Linked DNA regions of Nothobranchius furzeri. The protein of the gene in region 6 interacts with the protein of the main gene of each other region in a pairwise test. Links are inferred from orthologs where the notes say so. Each region holds a gene or a part of one and is shown on either strand. Other genes may lie near its edges.

Region 1 (4,280 bases), on a different chromosome or scaffold from region 6:
CGCAGCCATTACACTTTTCACCTCGCGCACCCCCTAGCGGCAGCTCGCGCACCACACTTAGGGAGTCCCTGCTCTAAGGTAGAAAAGAGAGAAAAAAAACTCCAGATGCATTTTTCTGATTTTGTTCCCTTACAAGGATATTTATGCCCTGTAATTATATCGGCATTTAGAGGGGCAAAAGGGTTTCCGTTAAACAAACACTGTCTCTGAGGAGAGATCCATCCTGCAACAGTTAGTATGTTCAAATGTGTCTAGGAGGGATTTTTAGGTCCAGTGTTAGTCTGAACAATCCACCCACAAGCTGACAGCTCTGAAAACAAGTTATCAAACCTGCCAATAAAAGGCACGTCCTGAATGACACCCTGCAGCAGGATCTCTGATGATGCAGCATGATAAAGACTCGCTGCCTGAGTAGCTAGACTCCACCAGGACTGGTGTCTGATCCTGTCAGCAATCTTCATGAACGGAAGCTCACATCGCAGTCGAGTGGTTTGGGTCTCATCTCTGCTTTAGGTGACAGCAGATGATGTGGTTCTGTTAGCATCTTCAGGCTATGATCTTTAGCGTGCACTAGCATGCTTCACAGCTGGGGGCCGAGGGCTGGGATGAGAATCAGCTCCTCTAAGACCGATGTCATTGTTCTCAACCGTATAAAGGTGAAACACTCCCTCCAGGTTGGAGCAGAATAATTAAAGTATCTTGTTAACTAAGAGATGGATCCAAGTAAAACAGAATCTATTAACATCAGCTGGTAAAAACGTTTATAAATGGAGCAGCAAACAGTGTTTTCATTCAGTTAGATGCAATGGTTGCAAATGCAGCTTCATGAAAAGTTAAACACTTAGCATGGAAGCAGATAGCAGCTATTTTTAGGTCTGATGGGATTTCCTTCAGATCAAGAGTCGACTGTTCAGTTATCTGAAAAAGTGCTGTGCTCATTTTCTAATGATGACAACAACTTATTATCTAAAGAACGTAAGCTTTGTTTTCTCCAGATAAGATGAATACGATGAAAATGGGAGAAATTCCTGTGTTACGCCCGTTTTCTTCATTTAGTAGCATTGCTGTGACTCTTGGATGATTAAAACTTATTGATGTGCTGTTTACTTTTGAATCAGTTGCAAGCAAGACTGACCTGATTTCTGATGAAGTAGCCCTCTCTGGTTGTGAGTTAGAAATAACTGTCTTAACACATTGGAGCAAGCTGTTCCAGGTCAAAATGTCTACATATTTCAGCCTGTTATAGCAACAAAACAAGCTTTATCCCCAGTGAAAGCATTAAATAACAAAATAAACCATTATTAAAAGACCTGCAAATGAAACCATATTTGTAGGCCTGTCATTGTGCGGCTTCCAAACGTCCGAAGTTTTGTTTTGTTTGGCTCACACACAACGGTAAAATGTAGACTTCTGTTATTTACTCACTAAGTAAAAAGATCTGTTGGATTTGAAAGATCTCATGTCAGAATAACACATGGATGCTGAGGGTGCTGTTCTGCAGCATCTCTTACTTATGAAGCATGTTGGAAGTAAAACTAATATTATGTAAATATTAAATAAAGTCTCAAATGTTGGGATGAACTCATGTGTTCCTACAATACAACTGTACTTAACAGAACCTCTTCCTAAAATAAATTTAGGTTTTCTTTTTATTTCCCATCAAATGATTTGAAAAATTTGTTGTACATCCAGTATAAAATCCACACACATCCATTTAAGTTACAAGTAATAGTTAACCCAAACAGGGGAAATGCCCCCAAATTGTGAATATTTAAAAAAAAAACTGTTTTGTACATTTTAGTCCTGAAAAGAAAGTTCTACCTCACTGGTGAACATGGCACAAAAGTAGTCGCTGCAAGCAGCCAAGACGATCCGGTGAGCAGGAAAATCCGCGTTGTCCACCCTCAGAGTGATGTCGCAGAGTGTGTTACTCTTGCGGAGTGAATTCATTGCATTGAGGATGGATTTAGCATGGGAATTTGTCATGATGTCTTTGGGAGCCATGCTGTTTGGAGGATCCGTCATAGATCTCAAACTCCCACAGGAACCTAAAATAAATACATCAAGACAAATAAACGGAATTCTTGCAGACCACAATGCCATCTGGGAACAGGAACAGAGACAGGAAGCACCGGATTATTGGATTAATAATAATAATAAAAACTTTAGCATTGGCTCATTAGTTAAAGATTATTCAGGAACCATCATGACTACTGAAAAAACATTTTTGATGAATCTGTAGAAATCATTAGATGTGTGTGTATTGGTTTGTTGTTTTGTTTTGGAAGAAAAAAACAAGGAAAGACATCAAATAATGTCACATCTGTCAGTGGAAGAGTCCACAAACAGGTATTATCCATCCTTAGGTATTTAAAAGCTGATATGTTGATTAAAACCAGACAAAAAAAAAAAGAATAAAACAAACGTATTTGTCAAACAAAAACCCATGTTTGAAACTACAAGTACATTTAGTTAGAACCAGGATTTTTATTTGATCGTGGTGATGAAACTTACCGTGAAAAGATCCTAACACTTTTTCCACCACTGGGAGGCAATAACTATAGCTACACATGAGCTAAAAGCAGCACTGAACAACAGCTGACGGCTAACGCCAACGCCACACAACTTCAGAAAACAGCAGCTACAAAAGCGGCCTGTAGGCCAGAGGGAGACAAAACAAGAAGCGACACACACACAAGAACTTGGCAAGAATTTGCATTATACCTGCAGGGCAGAGTCAAAACGTCTAGCTAAGTTGTTTTGCTAACTAACTGTAGCAGCACCAAAGTCTCAGTTCAAACCGCCCTAATCCATCATGACCTCCGTCAGGTCACACCAACACACGGCCTCCGCGGGGACGGGTCTGTTCAAAATATCAAAATTATCTCATATTATGTCCCAGAACGATCTTTGAACACCAACAATTTAACGTTGACTAAACTGCAGTGGGTCACAGTAGCGCCACCAACAACATAGTTGGCAAGCAGATGTATCATATAATAGTTGGACACGAACTTTCAAACAAAAATCCAGAATTCACTTGTTCGTAGTAAAATGAATAGCCTTTAGTCTGTGGTTGTTGTTGCTGTTGTAGTATATGTTGTTACATGACTATATGTTGTTACATGACGTTGTTACCTGATGTTCAGACATGATGTTGTTACTTGATTTTGTTACATGATGTTACTTGATGTTGGTACCTGATGTTATTGCATGATGATAGTACATAATGTTGTTACCTGATGTTGTTACAAGATGTTGTATAATGTTGTTACTTAATGTCACCTGATGTTACCTGATGCTGGTACCTGATGATGTTACATGATGTTACGTGATGTTATTTGATGTTGTTACCTGATGATGTTACATTATGTTGTTACCTGATGTTGTTACTTGATGTTGTTACATGATGATGTTACATTATGTTGTTACCTGATGTTGTTACTTGATATTGTTACATGATGATGTTACCTGATGTTGTTACCAGATGTTGTTACATGATGATGTTACATTATGTTGTTACCAGATGTTGTTACATGATGTTATTATTTGATGTTGTTACTTAATGTTGTTACCTGATGTTGTTACCCGATGTTGTTACCGGATGTTGTTATATGGTGTAGTTACTTGATGTTGTTACTTGATGTTATTACCTGATGTTGTTACTCGATGTTGTTACCTGATGCAAAAACAAGGTAAAATAACACTTGCTGTGTTAAAAAGAACAGTAATGCAGTAGAAATGCAGAACAATTTAATAAAACAATGTCAAATGTTATGACATGTTACTCATTTCTATGCACAGTGTAGAAGTAAAATGCTATTTGTGACCAAAGTGCCATTTAAAAAGATGAACTCAAATGTCAACTCACTTGTGCAGTGGAAATATGAACTAGACAAAGACATGGACAGATATGTTTGCCACATCTGAAGGGGATAACCTAATATAAATTAATGGAAAGCTGACATAATTTGCTTCAAAAGTTTGTTTTCCCTGACAAAGTCTCAGTTATGGAAAACTTGAGACACAATTTTAATATTGTGACAGTTTTGGTTATCATTGGTTTTGATTTTATAATTCAGATTGTCATTTTGACAGAAATATTTACACTGACGTTCAAATTACTTTTTAAATGTAATTATATTAAATGTTAAAACAGCTTGCCAAATTCACCGGCAGCCGGGGCGATGACGTACACAGTGCGTGAGTGTGCGTGCGCGCTCCCCAAAGAGCGAGACGCGTTTTTTTCCCAGAAATATGATGCCTCCCGCGCGTCCTCG
Region 2 (4,085 bases), on a different chromosome or scaffold from region 6:
CTCTTTTGCCCCGCAGGCCCCTTTGCCTTCTGCAAGGGATTCTGGAGTTGAATTTTAAAAACTATGTATGGCTGCTGCCTGCGCTTATCAGCGCGTGCACAAGTGGCATGCAAATCAAACGAGGATCACACACCCGCATTGGAGGCCTACACTCAAAGGCAAGCTTAATTGCTAATTGGGTATCTAGGTGTGAAACCCACATTGCCAATGAGAGGGAGGAACGTGGATGTTTTAAGGCCAGTGGTTGAACTAATTAATTTTAATCTGACTATTATTAAAAACTGCAAATTCTCTGCATTTTCTGTGGGGGAAACAGCCCAAGAGAGTGCTGTGGAAGGAGTTTTAACTGCAGTTGGACATGTCGTGGTTGGGATTTTATACCGCGTGATATCATCAGTGTAGATGTGTGATAGCGATGTGGTGATTAGAAACAGGGGCTGAAGAGCTAAACTGTGGCCAATAGCGCCAACAAGTGGGAGCCAGAGGGAGGCATTAACACACCTTCAGAGTTACTGCCCCATCCCTGTTCAGAATGTTCATTTACATCTATTGATTTATGCTTATGTTGCTTATTTACTGCAACCAATTTCTATGTATTAGAAGAACTATTTCTTTGTTTATAATGCTTTTTGACCATTATTCTTCAATCATTGTAAAGCCCGACCTTTACTCCTGGGTTTAATTAATAAGATTTGTGCAGCCATGAAATTAGCAAAACAACCAAAGGAGTGGGTAGAGCCTCCAAAAGTGTGTCTTAAAACTCCTCTGCAATAAATTCACTCTCATTTTAAAATGTTTGATGCACTGGAATATTGCATTCGGTAATAATGAACAAAACACCAAAATATAGTTTATGTTTAAATCTTATTCACTGTGAGGGTCATTGCAGCACGTGGAAAACCAAATTGAAGCTATTCCTAGTCACATTTAGCTGTGGAATGGCATCCCCTTCCTTAACCTGGAGCTTGTGTTTCTGGTAACAGCTTGCTGCTCAAATACCATCAAAAGACTCCTGCAGAGGATTCTGTCACTTTTTTTCTCTTTGCACAAACATGTCTTGCAGTGATGCTCTTTCCACAGATGCATGATCCTAACACAATTTCTAGTGATAATAAAGTAAAATAAATAAATAAATAAACCCACTATTCCTTATTTTTGTGCTGTTTATATGACAATATTGTAATTAAACAATCAAAAACATGTATGGGTGTTCATGTGCCACCCCCATTGCCGCCCCCATAACTACCAATTTGAAATTTGTCAATGCTTGCCAATGATTGTAGCTCTTAAGTGTCACTTTAAAAAAAATCAACATTGTTGTTATTGTGGGGCAGAAGGTTTCCTCTGATCTGTTTTTCAGAGCTGATTTGGACTGATTGAGAGAATAGGTGCTGTTTGATTGCCATGTTGTAGATATTTGTTTGATCCAGAGGGTGTGTGTTGGCCACAGCGTTTGGGTTGGTCACTGTTGAGCTTGTTTGGTGCTTTGAAAGAGGTTTTGACCCGCTAAACCAAACAGCTGCTGAACAAGGGGCATCAGATGTGATGAGGGGAGGAAGAGGAGGTGACCGCTGTTGCGCCTCCTAAAGAGGGCAAAGGCCAGCTGCGGTTGCGTCCAGATGTGCGCGGCAGCAGCAGCAGCATCACAACGTTTATCTAGTCGGGCTGGGTTTGTTTTACTCTGAAAATGCGACACACATACGTGCCAGTGAAACAGCGACAGCCCAAAAGAGCCTCGGGCGCCACAATGCTAACGTTGTCTGGGGCTTTGACTTCTCCCAGCCAGTGTGAAGAAGCTGCTCCGCGCGACAGTCACGGCGCTCCTCCGCCGCTCTTCCTCTCGCTCTCTCCCGCTATTCACGCTTTTTTCCTCCGTCCTACATTCTTTTTTTCCCTCTGTTAGAATAAACGGTCCCAACTCTCTCTCTCTCTCTCTCTCTCTCTCTCTCTCTCTCTCTCTCTCTCTCTCTCTCTCTCTCTCTCTCTCTCTCTCTCTCTCTCTCTCTGCGTCGATCGCCCTCTGAACCTTTAACGCGTGAGCATGATGGACGAAACGGATATCATGGATCTTACGCATCAGAAAGCGAAGAAGCGACCGCGTCCAATCAGTTCGGTGGATGAGTCCGTGCATGCGTCGCTCAAGCGGCTCCCGATGCGAGCGGCGGAGTGCAGGGAGCCCTCACTGATGTTCGCTGTCAGAGGAGAGCCGGTCCCCGCTGCGTCTCTGAAGCAGAATGATCACTCGGTGGCTTCCTCTCCAACCACAGTTATGCCAGCACAGGTAATACTAATAATGGAAATACTAAAAAACGATGTTTTCTTATACAAGTTAGAATTATTATTTTTTTATTTTAATTGCCTTCTTTCCATCATTTGTGCGCATATTTTTTTGCATAATATTGCCTTACTGACTTTTCTGCTCTTTCCTGATTTAATTTTTCGTTTTTCCGTTTTAGATGCACTGTTTTTTTTCCCCCTTTCACTCAAAAGTTTGAAACTTTTTTGGGGGGAGAAACAGCTATTCAGTCGCAGCTTATAAGAAAATTGTGTTTGTAGGTTAATATGAGACTGATTTTCCCACCAAATCCTATTATGGTATTCAAATCAAGAGTCATTATTGCTCACTTCCAAGAGAGATTGATGCTCCAAATTAATTTGGTTTTGGAGATTATGGCCCACAGGAGGTAGATGCTTGTAGACTGTGGCAACATTCAGGTCAAGGTCAGGCTGCTTCTATCCTGTTGGAAGAAAATCCTCCAACCCTGGCTGTGGAGTGGGAAGAAACAGATTTTTGCATCTGCAGTGTTTTAATTCTGTCGTCATTTTGAATTTATCTTTTCTTTTTTTTATGCTTTTCTAGGATAATCGCTCCAGCATGTCCAGACCCATGATTACGCGGTCACCAGTGTCTCCTTTGAGTAACCAGGGCATCCCCACACCTGCACAGCTCACCAAGTCCAATGCCCCTGTGCACATTGATGTGGGCGGACACATGTACACCAGCAGTTTGGCCACCCTGACCAAATTCCCAGAGTCTCGGTGGGTCTTACTTGCTCGATTTTCTGAAAAAACTCTCTGCAGTTTTAGGCTAAATGTGTTTAGCAGTGTCACGATTTCCTCAGAGTTTAATGTCAGCGTGTTTGATGTCATTATGCGACAGTCAAATGTCACAACCCTTCAAATCTCACAAACACACTTGGAACAGATAGAGATTTAGTGTCAGGTACTTATTTTTTTAAGCACTCAGGTGCATCAAAGCACTTCTTCTGGTGAAGTCGGCAGTTATTTTAAGGGGTAAACAATCCTGTGAGAACACAAAGTGCAGAATGCAGAGCCCAGACAAAAGCAACTTGCTTATTCTGACAGATGTCACGGCAGCAGCAAAGAGCCAAAGGGCATGGAGCCATCTGGAGGCCGGGAGGCCACGCTGTCGCTCCGAGAGCAGGCCTCAGGGTGACAGGCACCCGGCCTCGGGCAACCCAGCACCAGCTGGACCTGACCTCTCCACTCCACCTCTGATTTTAATCCTTTCTTTTCTTTCTTTTTCATGCACATATATTACTCAGCCTTTCTCTCTTTTTGTCTAAGCCTCCTTGTAGAGTCCATCACTACAGTTTGTGCTTTAATAAATCAAAATCTTAATCTCAACATGTTGTTCTCCCACCTCTCTCCCTCTCCTCCTCCGTCCTCCCCCTCCCGCTGTAGAATTGGTCGTCTCTTTGATGGCACGGAGCCTATAGTCCTGGACAGCCTGAAGCAGCACTACTTCATTGACAGGGATGGACACATGTTCCGCTACATTCTCAACTTCCTCAGGACGTCCAAGCTCCTGATTCCAGACGACTTCAAAGTGAGTGGGTGACCATCCTAGAAACTGTAAAGTGCCATCAGCTAGTCAGCAGTCCTGCAACTTAGCTCACACAATAGATGCTAAGGCTATAGATCGCCTTTGGTCATCGGTCTTCGTTGAGATGGTGAAAACCATTCTGGAGATAAAATATCAAGAATCTAACAAAAGAAATGTTGAATTTTGGTGACACCAGTGAGCATTTTTGCAGGTAATCACGTGCATTGACTGTATGGCA
Region 3 (3,500 bases), on a different chromosome or scaffold from region 6:
AAGACTGAGGGAAGTACTCACACATACACACGCTGACACACATAAACTCACACCTACATACACTGAACTGGGGAATGGACATGCATACACACACACACACAAACACCGAACAGGGGCAGGACATGCACACACACACACACACACACACACACACACACACACACACACACACACACACACACACACACACACACAAACACACACTTACACTAAGTTGAGGACAAAGAGGCTGGAGCTGACTTGGGAGAAATGATCTTAAAAGGGTAACAACATAAGACACTTTAACTGAGATGCAGACAAAAGACACATGTGGGCGCTATGAGACACAGAAGAGAATCTAGAGAGGGATGGAGAAACATCAGGAGACACATGAAGGAAGACGCAGATGCAGACCATGACAGATCCCAGCTGGACTTTTATAGACTTTCACCAAATTTTGAGAAATCTCAAACTGAACTCAGAATAGCAGGTTCACTGAGAATCAAACCTTTTTACTATTTTTGATGTATGATCGGTCCCTCTGAGCTTCTCATGCTGGCTGAACATGAAATAGTCTCCTACACCTATCTCCTGCAGTAGCTTCTGATAGAAAACAGAAGGTGAAACTCTAGGATTAGAAAATCCTGACCTACGCCACACTGTCACTAAAATACATGGACTCACCCATCATGGAGATAGTGCTAGGTAGGTAGAGCGGGCTGTCCAGTAATCAGAAGGTTGCAGGTTCAACCCCGGCTCCCACCAGAGAATGCTGCTCTTGTGTCCTTGGGCAAGACACAACCCAGCTTGCCTGCTGGTGGTGGTCGGAGGGACTGGTGGCATCTGAGTTCAGCAGCCTCGCCTCTGTCAGCACGCCCCAGAGCAGCTGTAGCTACATTGTAGCTCATCCTCACCACCGTGTGAATGACTGATTGTGTTGTGAAGCGCCTTGGGGGTTATAGAAGCCTAACAAGGCGCTGTACAAATACAGTCCATTTACCATCTTGGCTCACAACGGGGAAGGCTGTTGTTGGTTTAGCGTCCAGGCAACAGCAGAGAACGCCTCAGCCAGTAGAAGCTATTGCTAGCATTAGCATCTCCACCACACAGCAGAACTCCTCCATGCTTGTGTTATTTGTGGAGATAAAACAGAGTCGTGTTGCTGTTAGCCAATCAGAGGTGCAGTTGTTGATTAAATGTTAAAATGTTTCACATCATACGTGTGTGTGTGTGTGTGTGTGTGTGTGTGTGTGTGTGTGTGTGTGTGTGTGTGTGTGTGTGTGTGTGTGTGTGTGTGTGTGTGTGTGTGTGTGTGTGTGTGTGTGTGTGTGTGTGTGTGAGGTCCTGTACCTGAGCTAAAGCAGCTGGTTTAACCGATGGACACACATGGCTGCACCTGGAAGGCTGCGTGTCGGAAACATACGATGGCTTAATCCTAAATCAGGTTTCCCATGCAGATGAACTTTACTCCTTATAGCGTGAAACCCAAGAAAGGCCAGAGCGTCTCTTTATTTTGGAGCTCTTTGGACACAATGAGTTTCCAGTGACGTGGGCTCGTGACGTCCCACGGCGCCCCGCTCAGGTATTTTGGGAACTGAAAAGCTGCCTTTGTGCTGCTCCCAGGATGACCTGCTGAAAATATACCCACAAGGGCTGAAGCTACTGGATTTGTAGGTTTTATTCCTGTTGTAATTCCTGAGTTTTATTTTGAAAGAACAAACACAGCTGAAATGATTTGTGGAAGAATGATGAAAAGCCCTTTTCTTTTGTCAGGTTCTTCACAGGAGATAAAGTGAATTAGGCCTCTGGTCCGGTTGTGGTTCCTCTCTGGTTGATCAGACTCATTAGGTTGCTGGTGGCTCAGGTAGCTGTAGTTTACTGTTATTGGTATAAAATGCGTCATGCTTTCAGAGCTCACCTCTTCCTCGGCAGCAAGAAGTGGCTTCCTGCTGCCTCTTTGCGGCTGACACTTTGACATTCTGTAGGAAGTTGCTGAAATGAGACTTGACTTGAAATAATGACGATGTGTCTCTGTTTTGGTGGGACAGGCAGAAGCAGCTCTGAGCCAGTGGAGGACACGGACACCACCAGCTTTATGACAGAGATTGTAAGAAACCACTTCCTAATTCTCTCCTCCAGCCTTGACTTTGACATCTGCTCACTGTTCCAACTTGCTGATTGTCCAGTTTAATGATTTTTTTTTTTGTTCGTGATTAGAAAGCCCTGTAATCTGAGTAAAGTGCCAGAACCAAGCAGGCCGTGCTGTGATTGTGAGCGCTGAAGGGCTCGTTTCAGAGCAAGTCGAGGCAGGCTGTTCTCCGTGTCTGCAAACACGAGAGGCGTTTAGTGCCTGGGCTGCAGGCCGGGTCCACAGAGCTTCACACAAAGCAAACAGGCCTCTTCACTAACCTCGCCTTTGTCTCTTCCACAGTCGTTGGAGGCCAATTATCCTGTTCAAGTCACAGATCCTCACGGTAATACGACTCTCTGCTTCAGGGTCAAGCAGAAGGCTGCTTAGCTGCTAGTGACGCGACAGCAAAATGCTAAATATTAGGAAAGTTTCTTTCTACATCGATGTGAAACATGAGATCAAAGTTGCTTTTCTGACTTTGTTTCAAAGTCTGTGTGTTTTAGCCAGTTTTAAGAAAGTTTCTGTTAAAACTTTATAAATGATTTCACCCCTAGATGAACAGCCTCAGTCTGGAGAAATAGTCTGTGTGTTCCTGACACCTCAACGCTGTTCATTCATCAGAGCCCTGCAGGTCTTAACATAACACATTTATTCTTATGTAGTTTGGCGCATATCAGTTAATTATAATTTAACTTTCTTAGATGTTAAAGTCAGATTTTCTCGTGACAAAAAGTGATTTTAACGATGTAGGAAACAGGAAGAGTTAATAGGAAGTCCACTCTTCATACAAACCGTGCCAACTTTATTAATAAAACACACAGAAGCAAAGTGCTGCACACTAACTTCACATCAGCACATTTAAACATGTATGCTTTCACATGAAAGTGAAGCCTGTTTCATCTTATTACCACCCAGCCTGAGGGGAAAAGTTCATAAAACAACATCCCATAATGCGCTGTGATGTTCTGGAGCGGTTTTAAGACGACAGCAACAGAGGCTGTTCAGGAAGTTGTCTCAAACATGCGAGATAATAATTATTTATGACTTTTGGAGAGAAAAACACTCCAGAAAAGCCCAAAACTCCTTTAACCACAGAAATCAAATGTTTTCTGTTTTTATCAGGTTAGGATAAAGTTGAGTTAGTTTAAAGTGAAACACTAATCAGGATGGACGAGAAGTGGAGATAAACTTTAAACCCCAAACAAGCAACATAGCTGAAGGAAACGTTAAAACCAACACAAGTGAGAAAAAGCTGCTGTGTTGTTTTAGACAAGCTGGGACTGGTTTTTCATCAGAGCTGACGGTAATGATCCTCCTGCAGATGCTGTGACGCTCCACCTCAGCTCCATGCCCTCCAGATACCTGAGCCCCTCCTCTGAAGACAGGATAA
Region 4 (3,512 bases), on a different chromosome or scaffold from region 6:
CCAAAGTATTTAATAATTTTTAGTGACATTCTCCATCTTTCACTTGTACTGTTTTTATTAAATAACTCAGAATGAGTCATCCCCTACCAGATTCTTACTCCACTCCCACTTCCTGTTTGAAAAATGCAACAAATGCTGTAGCCTAGCAGACCGAGAGGGCGGAGCCGCTAACAAATACACACACAGGCTCACAACTACATTGTGATAATGCTGCACTATAGAAAATGGGTTGAAATATAACATGTTGGTGGAGCTGGGTTCCGACTATCGGCTTGTGGAGCTCTAGGGAGACCGATGTTTTCCACCCGTTTTTCCCCTCCCCGCAGCTCTGCGCATCTCTGTCTAATCGCGGCTTCTGTCTGCTGCGTGGGCTGCTGGCTTCCAGCAGCTTTCGGGAGACCTCTGTGTTCCACCCGGTTTTACCCAGCGGTCAGCCCGGCGTATCTCTGACTCAGAAGCTCTGGTGTTGTGCACAATTAACTCCGGTTGTAGCTAGGTTGCTACCTCCGTTAGCTTAGCTCCCACCTCTGCGTTAGCTTTGGGTTAGCTTGTAGCTAGTTCGACCGGGTGTCGTCAGTTGATCCCAGCCTTACAGCCACACCCTCAGCTCCACCTCTCTTCCCTTTTGTAGAATTGTCTGGGCTTGAAGGAACCTGTGACACGGTCAAAATGGCGGTGGTGGCCACCTCCCATTTTTGCACAAAAACGTGTTATTGGAGCCTATGGAAATGAATTGTCCAGTATATATGTAGATGGTCAGAACATATTTGCTTTTGTAAATGTGTAAAGAAGGGATTTACCAATCTGGTGCCCACAGGCCTTTTCTCCAAACCTGCTGCCATCTTTTAAAATCGCAAATGCATTATTATAGATTTAAAACCTACATGTTTCTTTACAAATATTTAAATATGTTTATAGTAAATACATTTTAGTTTAACTCTGATCTATTCTAGTTCAAAGGTTATATATTTGTATATTATTATGTACTTTTTTAATCAATACAAAGAAAAAGGTACTTCAAAAACAAAAAAACCGACAAAAAAGTTAAAAACAAACTTTGATAAATTGCAATTAAAAAAGTTCTTAACAACAAAAGTGCAAACTTCCCTTAAAATGTTTATGTTTCTATTAAAGACCAGCTTTCTGATCCAATCAATGATTTAGATTTGGATTTGGGTTAGGGTTAGGCTTAGGATTTCTTTTTAATCCAAAATTCACAAATTTTCACTATTGTATCAAACTTGGTTAACGCTCAGTCACAACCCTGAAAGTAGCTCTCAGCTTCAGGTTGGTGACCTAATGTGGCCTAAAAATTTGTTGCCATGTGTCCTCCAGGATGAGAGGTGGCGCTGTGGTCAATTAGTTTTTCATTTTTAAGGAGGAGGAAGAGGTCATTCTCGTGGCTTCTTTACGATCTGGAAAGAGACGAAGAACGTCTGCAGCTTGAGCTGGAGAGAAGAAATAAAAAGCAATCATGCCGATGTTTGTGGTGAACACCAACGTGGCTAAAAGCAACGTGCCTGCGGCTCTGCTGTCCGAGGCTACGGAGGAGTTAGCTAAAGCGATGGGTAAACCTGCTCAGGTAGGTCAGGAAGATGTTCCTTCAGACCATTATAACCCTGCAGATCATTTACCATGATGCATTTGATTATATATGGAACGATATATATACTAAATCACATCAGTACCATACTAAATAATATCCATTATGAAAGAATGTTTGTCAAAATGCTAATATAACATTAGAGATTACCTGCAGGGACGGAAGCGGCTCATCAGTTTGGATCAGTTTGCATAGTTGAAAATAATTACATGAATTAATCTGGATTATATATCACTGGTCCAAATTTCCCAGATGCAAGATGGATAAAGTGAATTACAAAGAATAAATAAAATTACTTCAGAGTGGGATGAGCATTAAAAAAACACCTAAACTCAAAAGGATAAAGAACATAATAACATAAAATAGTTTTAAAGTAAACGAAAATAAACACTAATAGAAAAGAAAATCCCTCCTTTTTTTGAGGCAATGTTTTTGCCACATCCACAACAGGAGAAAAATAAAGACTAAGATTAAAATAAACACCAAAACAACTCAACACAGAAATACTTAAAGGTTCAAAAATCTAAATATTAATTATAAAGAAATCTTAAGAAAAAAAATAAAATTCTGAGGGAAACGATAGCAAAGTACAGTATAACATTTTTAAAGCAAGATTTTGAATGACAGACTTCAACAAAGCTAAATCTACAGAAAAGTGAATGTTACAAATAGCGCTGTTGTAAATCTTTCAATATAAAAGACTAAATTCCATCAATATGGAAAAAAATTGTACAGACAAATATTTTTGGAGACTTATTAGTAAAGGTACAATGGAAAAATATTTGTCTTTGCTTCAAGAACTGTTGACTTGTTCACTCACTTAGGTTTGACACTTAATATTGCTTTTTTCCCTTCATCTTTCTTCAGTACATTGCTGTGAATATTAACCCTGACCAAATGATGATGTTTGGTGGAAAGGGAGACCCCTGCGCTCTGTGCTCCCTCCACAGCATCGGCAAGATCAGTGGCGCCCAGAACAAGCAGTACTCAAAACTACTGTGTGGGTTGCTCAACAAACACCTGGGAGTCTCCGCTGACAGGTAACAGTAGCCCATCAGCATGCTGATCCTCTTTGTAGGACTTGATCAAACACACAACCTCTATTCATTGCTCATTAACCTCTTTCTTCTGGTGTCTGTTTTAGAATTTATATCAATTTTGTGGACATGGATGCAGCCAATGTGGCCTGGAACAACACCACTTTTGGCTAGGATGGAGGTCAAGACTGAAATAAAAGATCATTCCAGTGTTTTCCTACTTGTATTAGGGTAAATAAAGCAAAGAGCTGAGACACTTTGTTATCCAGGTAATACTGTAGGGGTACCTTAAATGCACTTGATTGGACCCCCTTGCTATGTACTGACCCTTTTGCAATTAAACGAATAAAGAAAATCACGTGAAACAATTAATGAATATCTTCTGTTTGGGTCAGTAAGCCCTCCTATTCAGAAACTTTATCATATTTAAAGGACCTGCATGCAGCTATTTCACACCTTACAGAGCAATAGTAGGCACACTATATGATAAATATTACCATTGGCATTATTGAGATGTCATTTTTGTGAAATGGAAGTTATTTTCACAACCCACTCTTTCAAACATTCAACAATGGATTTTGCATGATATAGGACCTTTAAAAGGGACTTTACGGAGTTTTGAATGTTTATGCTCGCGATTGCCCCCTCAGGCCAAAAGCGTGACGGCAGCTTCAATAGTAGGCTCATGCACGAGGTGCGCATGCTGTACGTGCACACTCCTTAACGAAAATAACAGCTGAGACAGTCCCGTGTGTGTGTGTGTGTGGCCCGGATGACAGAGGACAGGAGAACGCGTAGCCAATTAATTAAATAATTTGGTTCTGTACCTTTCTCTTCAGCACAGCCGACAAAGGTTTAAGATGGGTCAGTCC
Region 5 (2,999 bases), on a different chromosome or scaffold from region 6:
GCCTAACAGTTATTTAATTATCTTCCAGTGACGGGCACAAAGGTCTTCGTCATGCCTGGTGGGATGATGAAGTGCAACACAAACCTTGTGGAGCTTATTGAAAAGGTCAAGCCAGAGATCAGGACACTCATAGAGAAATGTAACACAGTAAGTCATCCGTGTCTGTCTCTTTCAATGTGTGTCCTTAAATGTCAACCTTACTGGAAAAACATTTTTTAATGATAATTCTTATTATAATTGGTCACTCTGAGATTTTTATGCAGGCGAAACATGAAAATGGTCTCCTACACCTATCTCCTGCATTAGCTTCTGATAGAAAATAGACGGTGAAACTCTAGGATTAGAAAATCCTGACAGATCTACGTCACCCTGTCACTTAACATTCATGGACTCACGACGGGGAAGGCTGTTGTTTTAGAGTCCAGGAAAGGGCAGAGAATGGCTTCGCTAGTAGAAGCTAACTGTTAGCATTAGTAACTCCACCACATTCCAGAACTCCTCCAGGCTTGTGTTATTTGTGGAGATGAAACATCAGTGTTGCTAAACAGAGTCACTGGTAGAATCGCATTGCTGTTAGCCAAAGAGATACGAGATGTCCAAGTATTTGGAAAAAAGACTCCAAATCCTGCTGTGTTCAGCTCCGCTTTGATCTGGCTCACTTCTAGATCCTGAAACAGGCACACTGGAGCTTTTTTTTCTTCAGAGCACAATTTACAAGGCATTCCTGCCTACTAGAGACCACCGCAGATGTATTAAAATATGAGTTAAGTTGATCATTTGTATATGTGTTGGTTTTACATCCTGACTAGCCACACCTCACGTATCACTGATGCTTTGTCACTCAAATTGTTTCTTTTTTCCCCGCAGGTTAAAATGTGGGTTCAGCTCCTCATCCCCAGGATAGAGGATGGCAACAACTTTGGCGTTTCAATCCAGGAGGAGACGGTAGCTGAACTCAGAACAGTCGAAGGAGAGGCTGCGTCTTACCTCGATCAGATTTCAAGGTCTGCAGAGGCTCCAAACATATGGATTTATTTCTAAACAAAGCAAAATGGTGTTGTGTATTTTTACAGTGTCCAAACGTTGTTTGATTCCTCTTTTAATCCTAGATACTACATCACAAGGGCAAAGCTGGTTTCTAAAATAGCCAAATATCCACATGTGGTAAGTAGTTATCTTAGAATGGATTCAGTTTTATTCCAAGTATTGGAAATAGAATTAATGCTAGAATGTTTAAATGTCCTAAACATTTCTCACATCATTTACGTGATTTTGGGTCCATGTCTGACTGTCGTTGAAGGCTTGATGTGATTTAAGCATTTTTTAGTCAAACTGCTGCGCCTTTCCTAACAAAGTGGTTCAAATTAGTTATGTGCCTTTGGACCACCTATAAGGTAGTTAATGTATTAAATATGTTTACCTCAGTGGTGTTGTGTGTTGCTGAAGTAAGTGCAACTCATAAAGGTTATTTTTGTGTGAAATTATTATCGTTATTAATTAAACCCTTTAGATAGCTTTCAGAACAATCTTATTGCTAAACAGGCTATATGACTAATAAGGTTTATGCCAATAGTCCTAAAACTACTCATGTTACAGCAGTTCATGCAAATGTTATTTTACTAATTCCCATACTGTCATCTGTTTTGGGCTACTTTGTTATTTTGGCATTAATTAAAAAATATCCGCCAGACCCAACCCCGTGTGTGCTGGAAGTGCTACATTTAATGCTGATTTAACAGCAATGTTTATAAATGATGTGAAAATTACAAGATTGAGAATAACCTGAAAGTCTGCTTATCTTGTTCCAAGATGCTTACGTGTGTGCAACATGTTTTCTTTCCAAGCTGTTTTTGGGATGAATGAAAAATTTGGCTATTTATACTTTTCATATTTACATATCAAGATTTCTGACCATTATCTATCTTTCATTGTGTTTACAAACCGTTTTTCTCCTTGTAATCAGGAGGACTATCGGCGCACGGTAACAGAAATTGACGAGAAGGAGTACATCAGTCTGAAGATCATAGTTTCGGAGCTCAGAAACCAATATGTGCGTTGTCTTCAATAACAGTCTAGTCATCGTGTATCTTTGTTGTCCTTAAACCTGCTTTTTCTCTCATGAAGGTAACGTTACACGACATGATACTGAAGAACATTGAGAAGATCAAGAGGCCTCGAAGCAGTAATACTGATGCATTGTACTGATGTCGGTCTCTCCTTCCCTGTCATCTCCCTGCTCTTACATGCTGGCAGCAGCCTCACCCCCATCTGCAGGAAAACTAGACATTCACACACTTCAACACACTTCAACACAGTCGACTCAGCCCAGTATGAAAACATAGCTTCATAGATGGACACCTTTTTGTTTTAATTGTAAATGTGTTTTTGTTTTAATTCCTTCAAAAACGTTAAAGTTCTCTCAGAAAATGGGACAGTAAACTATAGGCAACATAAAGCACGATGTATTTTTTAATTTTAATTAAACATCTTGTCTCCAGATCCTTTGTGACATTTCTTCTTTTGTAGCTGATATTTTGTGGAATATGAATTGGTCTCATTGAACCTTTTCTGGATCTGGATGATGCTGGTAAGTTTGACATGAAATTACCGGTAAACAAAAACCTGTTGTTCTCTGAATGTTGTACATTATTACATTGTGTAGGTGTCAGGTCAGACGTTTTAGATTTGTGGGCTTAACGGTTTTCAGTGAAAATGCATAAGTCAGCATTGGTTCTATTGAATAAAACCATTTTTGATACAACGGTTTTTATCTGTTGCTTACCAGACAGACATCTGATCATAGGATGACAAGTAGTTATAATAAATTATTTTTACTAATTATACAGCCACCTATCAGAGGGTTATAGCTCCGCCTCTTCCTGGACTACATCACATTTGTAAAACTAACCTTTATCTTTCATTTTTTTCTACAAGAATATGGTTCACACAGTCATGTTTTCCCCCCACAAACACGGGATGTTTGAATGCCTTTAGTTGTG
Region 6 (3,440 bases):
CTCGGCGTCTGATGATGGATCGGTGATCGTCTGTCACGGGACTGTTTACAAGTAAGACCACAAACACACCCTGAAAATCTATTCATAACAAGACTTATAAAAGACAGGATATTAAAACTTGCCGCCGTCTCTTCCAGCGACCTGCTTCAGAACCCGCTGATAGTACCTGTAAAAGTTCTCAGAGGTCATGTGATCACCCACGATCTTGGTGTTCTGGACGTGATCTTTCACCCCACTCAGCCGTGGGTCTTTTCCTCAGGAGCTGACGCCACCATCCGGCTCTTCACCTAAAGTGTTTTAACCAGCAGCAGCTCTGTGTGTGTGTGGGAGGAGTCTGACCTCCCTAATGGACTGATTACCAGGATACCTTCTTCTTTTTTTTTTGTTTTGTTTTCTGTAGTTTATTTTATTGTTTTCAATAAAATGTATTTTATTGTTTTCAATAAAATATATTGTTCTTACAATTTGTCTCTGTATGTTAAAACTAGGAGAATTATTGATTCTTTTTTTAAAACCTACAAAATGTAGTTTTATTTGTCTGCCTTCATTTTAAAGGAGTTTGTGTTGCGGTTACCTTTTTGAAAAACAAGACCATTTATTACAGCTTTCAAAAAGGAAATAAAATTATCTAAAATTATCAACATAATTACAGCTCTAAAGGTTTTTTTTTTTTGTTTGTTTGTTTTGTTGCCAGAGGCAGAAATTAGGACTATCCCAAATATAAAGTATTTGTGCTTCAAATTTCATCATTATGGATATTTTTAACTTGAACCAAGTTTTTGGGTATTTTGTACAAAGCTTGTTTCTAATAGTAAAAGTATTTGTAATAACCATGTAAATGCACGACTGCGCAGGCCTGGGAATATTTGTTGTATCTGTTGTTTAACCAGGTTAAAGGCCTCTCTTAAGAATAAAATCTCTAAGAATATCAGCTTTCTTTATGTATCAGTTGTGCTGAACACAAGCGGGAACTATGTTTAACGAAAATATTCGGGTACCAGGGTCTGCAAAATGTTCTTAGAATATTTACTACAAACAATTTTCTTTATAATGAAGTTGGTGTGACAAGAGTTTTCAACCATGGGGACACATTTCGAAGTGACACCGTCGGAGCGGTTTCGGTGTAACACCGAACCGCGAGTTCTGTTACTGGTAAATCCATTCTGTTACATCATGAAAAAAACTTCAGTTTGTTGGGTTTTACATAATTATTCGTCAAATTTTGTAGCAAAAAACAAACAATTTTCTTTATAATGAAGTTGATGTGACAAGAGTTTTCAACCATGGGGACACATTTCGAAGTGACACCGTCGGAGCGGTTTCGGTGTAACACCGAACCATGAAGGCAGTAAAGGATCGAATCACACCGAGTCGTGAGTTCTGTGTTTACACCAGCTGTTACTGGTAAATCCATTCTGTTACATCATGATTAAAAAAAACTCCAGTTTGTTGGGTTTTACATAATTATTCATCAAATTTTGTAGCAAAACGCAGTTGGCTTAAATGGTAGCTGCTACATTCTTATGGATATGATTTTATTATTATTAGATTATTTTTGCTGTTTGATTAGTGATGTCTTAATTTGCTTTGCAGTGAGGAGAATGTGTGGAAGTTGTGTGAGTTTGTTCAAACAGCGAGGACTGCTCCACTGGAACAGCTCTTTGTGGTTTTCATCTCTAATGACAACAGAATGGTGAGAAGATCAGCTCTGAGAAGTTTGTCATGTGTTACAAAACCCTTTAAACATATTTAACTCAACAGATTTAGTCTCAACAGGTCTAAAGTTTAACAAATCATCACGAATCCCCTTAAATTTGCCAAGTTTGTATAAAGAATCAACATTTTCACTAAGATCTGACTTCTGCTGCTGCTGCTGATCAGTGATGTTATTTGTTCTCCTTCAGGTTCCTCTGTGGAAGCAGAAGTCTGGACACGCTGACCATCCAGTGATCTGGGTCTATGATTCTCCTTCCTGTTAAAGTGGCCTCAGAGCATTAAAATAATACATTGTTAATCATGTTTTTTTGGGTGTTTTAGGACTACCATGTGATCCTGCTTCATGTGGATCCTCAGTCGGAGGTTCTGGTTTATGATCTGGACACAGAGCTGTCATTCCCATGCAATCTGAGGCTTTATGGCAGCCAGGCCCTCCGCTCAGACCACCACATCAAACCTGAATATCACAGGTAGCACTGCTGAATTACACAGGTAATGCACTGGAGTGAAATCACCAACACCTTCTCATATCTGTGACAGGAAGTTGCGTGTGATTCCTGCTGAGAGCTTCCTCTTGAACTTTGCGTCTGATCGAACTCACATGAAGAACCCTGATGGGAGCTGGAAGAAGCCCCCTCCCTCTTACCCCCCTTTAAAGACCACTGGTAACAAATCAAGTTAATGTGGAGCATGTTTTCTGATTCCTGTCTTAGGAAAAGGTGATTTTGTACTTTTGGTGCATTTCCTCTTCAGGGTGTCAGATGAACCTGGATGACTTCATCAGCATGAGCCCAGCTGTTGGCTGGGGGACAGTTTTCAGTCTGAATCAGTTTCTACAGAAATACTTAGGTTGCTCCTCCACCACCTCTTCATCTTCATCATCAGCTCAATCCTGATCAGCATCCTGGCAGCTGCTGTTTTGTGATTAGCTTTTATGTTATTATGAACATTTAATCTGAAATGATTGAGAGACTGAGACAAACATTGAACTGAACTTTATGTTTTGGGCTGAGCTGCATCTCGTTTGACCTCTCTTGAGTTTCACCTTGGCCTCTGAAGCTCAGAGGAAACCAGAAACATGACGACGACAGCGCTTCAGCCATGTCACAGATTCATCTGGAAACTGAAGTGATCCTTCATCACACACGCCTGTGAGAACTTTGAGCATCAGCACCTTGATTTCACCTGAGTTCCTGAGAAATAAAAAGATTTTATTTAATCTTTGATCGCGTTGGATTCTCTGTCTCTGTAGCGCAATGATAGAATAAAAATTAAATGTATAATTGTAACTTTTGGTGTCAATTTGAATCTTGGTTTCCAGAATATTTTAACAATTAAAACTTGGTGAAATTATGCAGATTCTAGTTAACAGCAGATTTGTGTTTGGGTATAAGTTCTATTTACCGTTATAGATGACTGGTGGAACTTGTGCAATCACTTTCACCTGTCATATGTTTGTGTTCAGTATGGCAGGAGTGGTTAGGACACTGGTTTAAACAGGAGGATCAGGCATGTTTGGTTTCAAATTCTTTTCTGGAAGAAGCTCAGGACAGCAACATCCAGATAAAGTAAGCAACCTGTTTTATTTTATCAATCAAACAATCTTTAAGATTATTTTCTTTTGAGTTCTTTGTCCCTTTGAGAAATGCACATCTCTTTAGAACAAACATGAGCGACAACAACAACTCTGACCAGGACGGGGGTCGGCAACCAGCGGCTCTGGA
Region 7 (3,500 bases), on a different chromosome or scaffold from region 6:
ATAAAACAAGAAGTAAATACCGTATTTTCTGGACTATAAGTCGCACTTTTTTTCATAGTCTGGCTGGTCCTGCGACTTAACAAAGTGACTTATATGCCAAATTATGTAAACCGCGCTGCTGCGGGCCGGCTCCGGTCCAGGTTTCAGCTCCTCTGCCCCACTGGGAGGGTTTCAAACACCGCCATCACCTGCTGCAGCCTGTGGCGGGGTGGTGCGGGCGCTCTACCTGCCTGCTGGGAGGGTTTGAAACACCGCCATCCTCTGGTGGAGACCGTGGCGCGCTGCTGCGCCCTGATTCTTTATCCTGTTATTGTTACCGGTACTTGTCTTGCAATGTGAAACGCTTGGTCTCAAATTTTGTAAGAAAAATAATAAAATTTCCCCCCAAAATGCAACTTATAGTCCAGTGCGACTTATATATGTTTTTTCTTCTTCTTCATTATACATTTTATGGCTGATGCGACTTATACTCCGGAAAATAGGGTAATCTAGTTACAGCTGAGGTAGGTAATGTGCAGGTAACACCTTGTTTGTTCCTGACCAATAAGCACACCTGAGCATGGTTACCTTCCTCTAAGTGTTCACATTAACTCTGATGACGACACACCGAGTGTTGAAATGTTGGTAGCTGTTCTTTGCGTCCGCTTTGCTAACGGCTGATTAGCTGCAGCAGCCATCTTGGTCACTTTTGGGTTTTTCCATTAAAATCCATAAAATGGATAAAGTGATTCCTAATTGTGCTTGATACAGTGGACAGGAACCCCCCACAGCACAAAAATGGTTTGGCCCATCTCCAATATGGTCTATGCGTGCGCGCGCACGCACGCACGCACGCGCGCACACACACACATTTTGGTGAAAGTAATTTAAACCCTTAAGATTGCTGATATTCTGCCAACGTGACCTCTCTAACACTTCAAACACATTATTTGTGTCGTTTAAACCTCCTCCACAAACCGTTCCTGTACCTGGATGTCAGCTTCTCGCTCTGGCATTGGTCCAAAGTGCTGCAGAATCTGATTGTGGAAGCGGATCTTCAGGTTCTGGAACCAGACCTGGGCCTGTTCGTACACGGCGTCGTGCAGATCTTGTAGCTTTTCCAGGACTTCTCTGTCCACCACCTGACAGATCATCACTTCATCAGAGTCTTAACTGGATACATTTATTTATCTGATTTATTAGAATAAGTTGTAATGACGTCGGTTTCTTTAGAGGCACTCAGGGATGCCCGTAACATAATGTTAAGGTGGTTCTCACCCTGTTGTCCTCCAAGTGTTCGATGTCTGCAGTGTTGTAGCCATCCTTCATTCCTCTGGTCAAGACTCGGAACCTTTTTCCTCCGACGGTATCGACCACAGATCGTCCGTCAGGGAGGAAATGGACGCTCCTGATGATCAGCATGCAGCCATAATCTGCAAACCTGCAACATGAACATAAACGCTCCTTTTACTAACAGATCAGTCTGCAACTGCTCTGCGTCCAGAGTTATTACTACAAGGACAGAGCATATGCACACGTGTGTATGTTAGCATGCTCACCCCTTTTCAGGCTCACTAATGCACATCCCAAACTGCTGCGTGCCCGTGTCCATGCAGCGGCGAATCATGAGGCGATAACGAGGCTCAAAGACGTGCAGAGGACAAGGCACAGTTGGGTAAGCCATGGTACAAACAAAAACAGGCACATTCTTCATCAGGCTGCAGAGAGGAACAGAAAGGTGGATTATTTAGACTGGTTGAGAATCTTCTGCACACCGGTAAGGAAAAGAAAGGCTGCTTACTCGGAAAGCTCCTGGTTCTCCTCCAGGTGGGTTTTAAACCTCTCTTCATGCTCATGCCTCAGGTGCTGCTTAATTAGCGTGTCCAACACTGCTGTCACTGTGTACTTCCTGAATGCTAGATACTGAAAACACCAGAATTAATGTCACAAAGGAGTGGCGGTGTGAATGAGGAGGCTGATTTCTCAGGAGTGGAACCGTCTTACCTCTTTCAGACTCTCCTTGCAGAGGGGACACTGGGGGGTGTGGTCCAAGCAGCGCTCCAGGCAGTTTTTACAGAACGTGTGGCCACACGGTGTAGACACCGGCTCATAAAACAATCTGTGTTGGTCAGTGAGATGTAACGATCAGCTGGCTCATCGGACAGGTTTACACGTGCGGTGGCTCTCTGGGGTGACCTTACCTCATGCAGAGGGAACACTCCAAGTCGTTGGGGTCCAGCAGATCCTCGGGAACTTGTCTGCAGGGTTTCGCTTTGGCTGTTTGGTGTTTGGAGCCTTTTGTCCAACCTGAAGTCATCCAGAAGCAAAGATTAAGGATTAATCTCATTATTGTGCCGTTAGGAGTGACGGTGAAGGCCGGGAGCTGACCTTGTTTTTTATATTTGCTACTCCCACTGTCCACCAGGTAGGCCTCCACGTCCGACACAGACAGCTTCCTCTTCAGCAGGCTTCCCTTGTCTTGATCGCCCAGCTGAGGAGCTGAACTAACTCTCTTTAGCCCTTCTTCCATACTGCTGGAGCCGTGCATTCGCAGCGACTGGGCTCGGCTCAGACCGGGGCGCTCTGGGCTTTCGCACCGTTTCTGAACAACGACATGAGAAAGTGGTGGGGGTGTCACTGGATTAGTCTGACTGAATAACCTGTGACTGAAGAGTTCACCATGCAGGTACCTCCTGGCTGTCTGTGTGGTGGGCAGAGGCGGCGCAGACCCGGTGCCGGTGCCGTCTCTGAACCGGGCTCTGTGGCTCCACGGAAGCATTTTCTACAAGAGTTTTAGTGCGTAGGTGAGGCAGCGTGCTCTGCGTCGTTTCTCTCAGGCCGACTTTCACGTTCTCATCAGCTGGAGAAAGCAGGTCGCACAAAATCTGCAAAAACAGCAACTCTGGTCAACGTGATTTCTACAAGACGGAATAACGAGTCAGAAAAGCTGCAGACCAACACCAGAAAGCAGATTTATAACCAAACATCTGCAAAACATATAAACATTATGAACTTTTGAAAAGTCTGCAAAGTTTTGGAGCCATCTTGTAAACAAAGACAAACCGTAGCCCTGAATAATTGTTGATGCACAATGCACGAGTGAAATGTGTCACTTACATAACTACAATGCTGTCAGTGTTCTGTCATTAAGTGGTACTAATATCATTACAGAGTCACAGGACCTGACCTACTAACTCCTTATGTAATTCCAATGATCACACAAAGGTAGAAAGTGAAGTTGACATATTTACAACACTGGGTAAATGTCTCAACAAGTCTTTAGGTCCGTTTCTCGTTTGGCTGCAACTAGTCGGGGAGACAAAAATGCAAAACTCAACGCAAACGTGCTCAGAACAGTTCTAATGGACATCTTTGCAGCAGCTTTTATCCACGGCTCTGTCCCATGCAGAACTGGATGCAACTGCAAACGGTTTGAAACAGCCGTGCACATTTTATTGTCATATCTTAGTCATGAATGTTTTAATTATATCTCTGTTTTTTTTTTGTCAAAACCTCCCGAA

What was found.
Region 1: the proteins of ntaq1 (region 6) and kelch-like protein 12 interact in binary tests that used the Homo sapiens proteins (3 or more experiments, as listed by UniProt). The two-hybrid records come from large-scale screens. The link is inferred for Nothobranchius furzeri from reciprocal best matches to the Homo sapiens genes NTAQ1 and KLHL12.
Region 2: the proteins of ntaq1 (region 6) and kctd1 interact in binary tests that used the Homo sapiens proteins (3 or more experiments, as listed by UniProt). The two-hybrid records come from large-scale screens. The link is inferred for Nothobranchius furzeri from reciprocal best matches to the Homo sapiens genes NTAQ1 and KCTD1.
Region 3: the proteins of ntaq1 (region 6) and edaradd interact in binary tests that used the Homo sapiens proteins (3 or more experiments, as listed by UniProt). The two-hybrid records come from large-scale screens. The link is inferred for Nothobranchius furzeri from reciprocal best matches to the Homo sapiens genes NTAQ1 and EDARADD.
Region 4: the proteins of ntaq1 (region 6) and mif interact in binary tests that used the Homo sapiens proteins (3 or more experiments, as listed by UniProt). The two-hybrid records come from large-scale screens. The link is inferred for Nothobranchius furzeri from reciprocal best matches to the Homo sapiens genes NTAQ1 and MIF.
Region 5: the proteins of ntaq1 (region 6) and psme3 interact in binary tests that used the Homo sapiens proteins (3 or more experiments, as listed by UniProt). The two-hybrid records come from large-scale screens. The link is inferred for Nothobranchius furzeri from reciprocal best matches to the Homo sapiens genes NTAQ1 and PSME3.
Region 7: the proteins of ntaq1 (region 6) and lonrf1 interact in binary tests that used the Homo sapiens proteins (3 or more experiments, as listed by UniProt). The two-hybrid records come from large-scale screens. The link is inferred for Nothobranchius furzeri from reciprocal best matches to the Homo sapiens genes NTAQ1 and LONRF1.

The regions. Positions count from the first base shown.
Region 1 is NC_091755.1:52,045,803-52,050,082, forward strand, and holds the start of kelch-like protein 12, read right to left. Parts: upstream 2,801-4,280; 5' UTR 2,725-2,800; exon of another isoform or gene 2,655-2,724; 5' UTR 2,573-2,654; coding exon 2,515-2,572; intron 2,049-2,514; coding exon 1,822-2,048; intron 1-1,821. UniProt on the Homo sapiens protein: Substrate-specific adapter of a BCR (BTB-CUL3-RBX1) E3 ubiquitin ligase complex that acts as a negative regulator of Wnt signaling pathway and ER-Golgi transport.
Region 2 is NC_091751.1:52,385,324-52,389,408, forward strand, and holds the start of kctd1 (BTB/POZ domain-containing protein KCTD1), read left to right. Parts: upstream 1-1,285; 5' UTR 1,286-2,041; coding exon 2,042-2,281; intron 2,282-2,860; coding exon 2,861-3,039; intron 3,040-3,705; coding exon 3,706-3,850; intron 3,851-4,085. UniProt on the Homo sapiens protein: May repress the transcriptional activity of AP-2 family members, including TFAP2A, TFAP2B and TFAP2C to various extent.
Region 3 is NC_091752.1:9,549,922-9,553,421, forward strand, and holds part of edaradd (ectodysplasin-A receptor-associated adapter protein), read left to right. Parts: intron 1-1,752; exon of another isoform or gene 1,753-1,843; intron 1,844-2,027; coding exon 2,028-2,086; intron 2,087-2,410; coding exon 2,411-2,453; intron 2,454-3,431; coding exon 3,432-3,500. UniProt on the Homo sapiens protein: Adapter protein that interacts with EDAR DEATH domain and couples the receptor to EDA signaling pathway during morphogenesis of ectodermal organs. Mediates the activation of NF-kappa-B.
Region 4 is NC_091741.1:91,262,145-91,265,656, reverse strand, and holds mif (macrophage migration inhibitory factor), read left to right. Parts: upstream 1-1,364; 5' UTR 1,365-1,474; coding exon 1,475-1,582; intron 1,583-2,470; coding exon 2,471-2,643; intron 2,644-2,747; coding exon 2,748-2,814; 3' UTR 2,815-3,012; downstream 3,013-3,512.
Region 5 is NC_091756.1:48,472,636-48,475,634, reverse strand, and holds the end of psme3 (proteasome activator complex subunit 3), read left to right. Parts: intron 1-28; coding exon 29-147; intron 148-867; coding exon 868-1,004; intron 1,005-1,109; coding exon 1,110-1,164; intron 1,165-1,963; coding exon 1,964-2,050; intron 2,051-2,124; coding exon 2,125-2,205; 3' UTR 2,206-2,499; downstream 2,500-2,999. UniProt on the Homo sapiens protein: Subunit of the 11S REG-gamma (also called PA28-gamma) proteasome regulator, a doughnut-shaped homoheptamer which associates with the proteasome. 11S REG-gamma activates the trypsin-like catalytic subunit of the proteasome but inhibits the chymotrypsin-like and postglutamyl-preferring (PGPH) subunits.
Region 6 is NC_091759.1:9,346,730-9,350,169, forward strand, and holds ntaq1 (protein N-terminal glutamine amidohydrolase), read left to right. Parts: upstream 1-1,245; 5' UTR 1,246-1,339; coding exon 1,340-1,404; intron 1,405-1,593; coding exon 1,594-1,693; intron 1,694-1,904; coding exon 1,905-1,955; intron 1,956-2,037; coding exon 2,038-2,186; intron 2,187-2,256; coding exon 2,257-2,381; intron 2,382-2,469; coding exon 2,470-2,612; 3' UTR 2,613-2,940; downstream 2,941-3,440. Other genes in the region: ribosome biogenesis protein bop1, read left to right, coding at 1-51, 138-291. UniProt on the Homo sapiens protein: Mediates the side-chain deamidation of N-terminal glutamine residues to glutamate, an important step in N-end rule pathway of protein degradation.
Region 7 is NC_091746.1:77,560,115-77,563,614, forward strand, and holds part of lonrf1 (LON peptidase N-terminal domain and RING finger protein 1), read right to left. Parts: intron 2,865-3,500; coding exon 2,670-2,864; intron 2,582-2,669; coding exon 2,181-2,581; intron 2,099-2,180; coding exon 1,984-2,098; intron 1,903-1,983; coding exon 1,781-1,902; intron 1,698-1,780; coding exon 1,539-1,697; intron 1,421-1,538; coding exon 1,258-1,420; intron 1,122-1,257; coding exon 969-1,121; intron 1-968.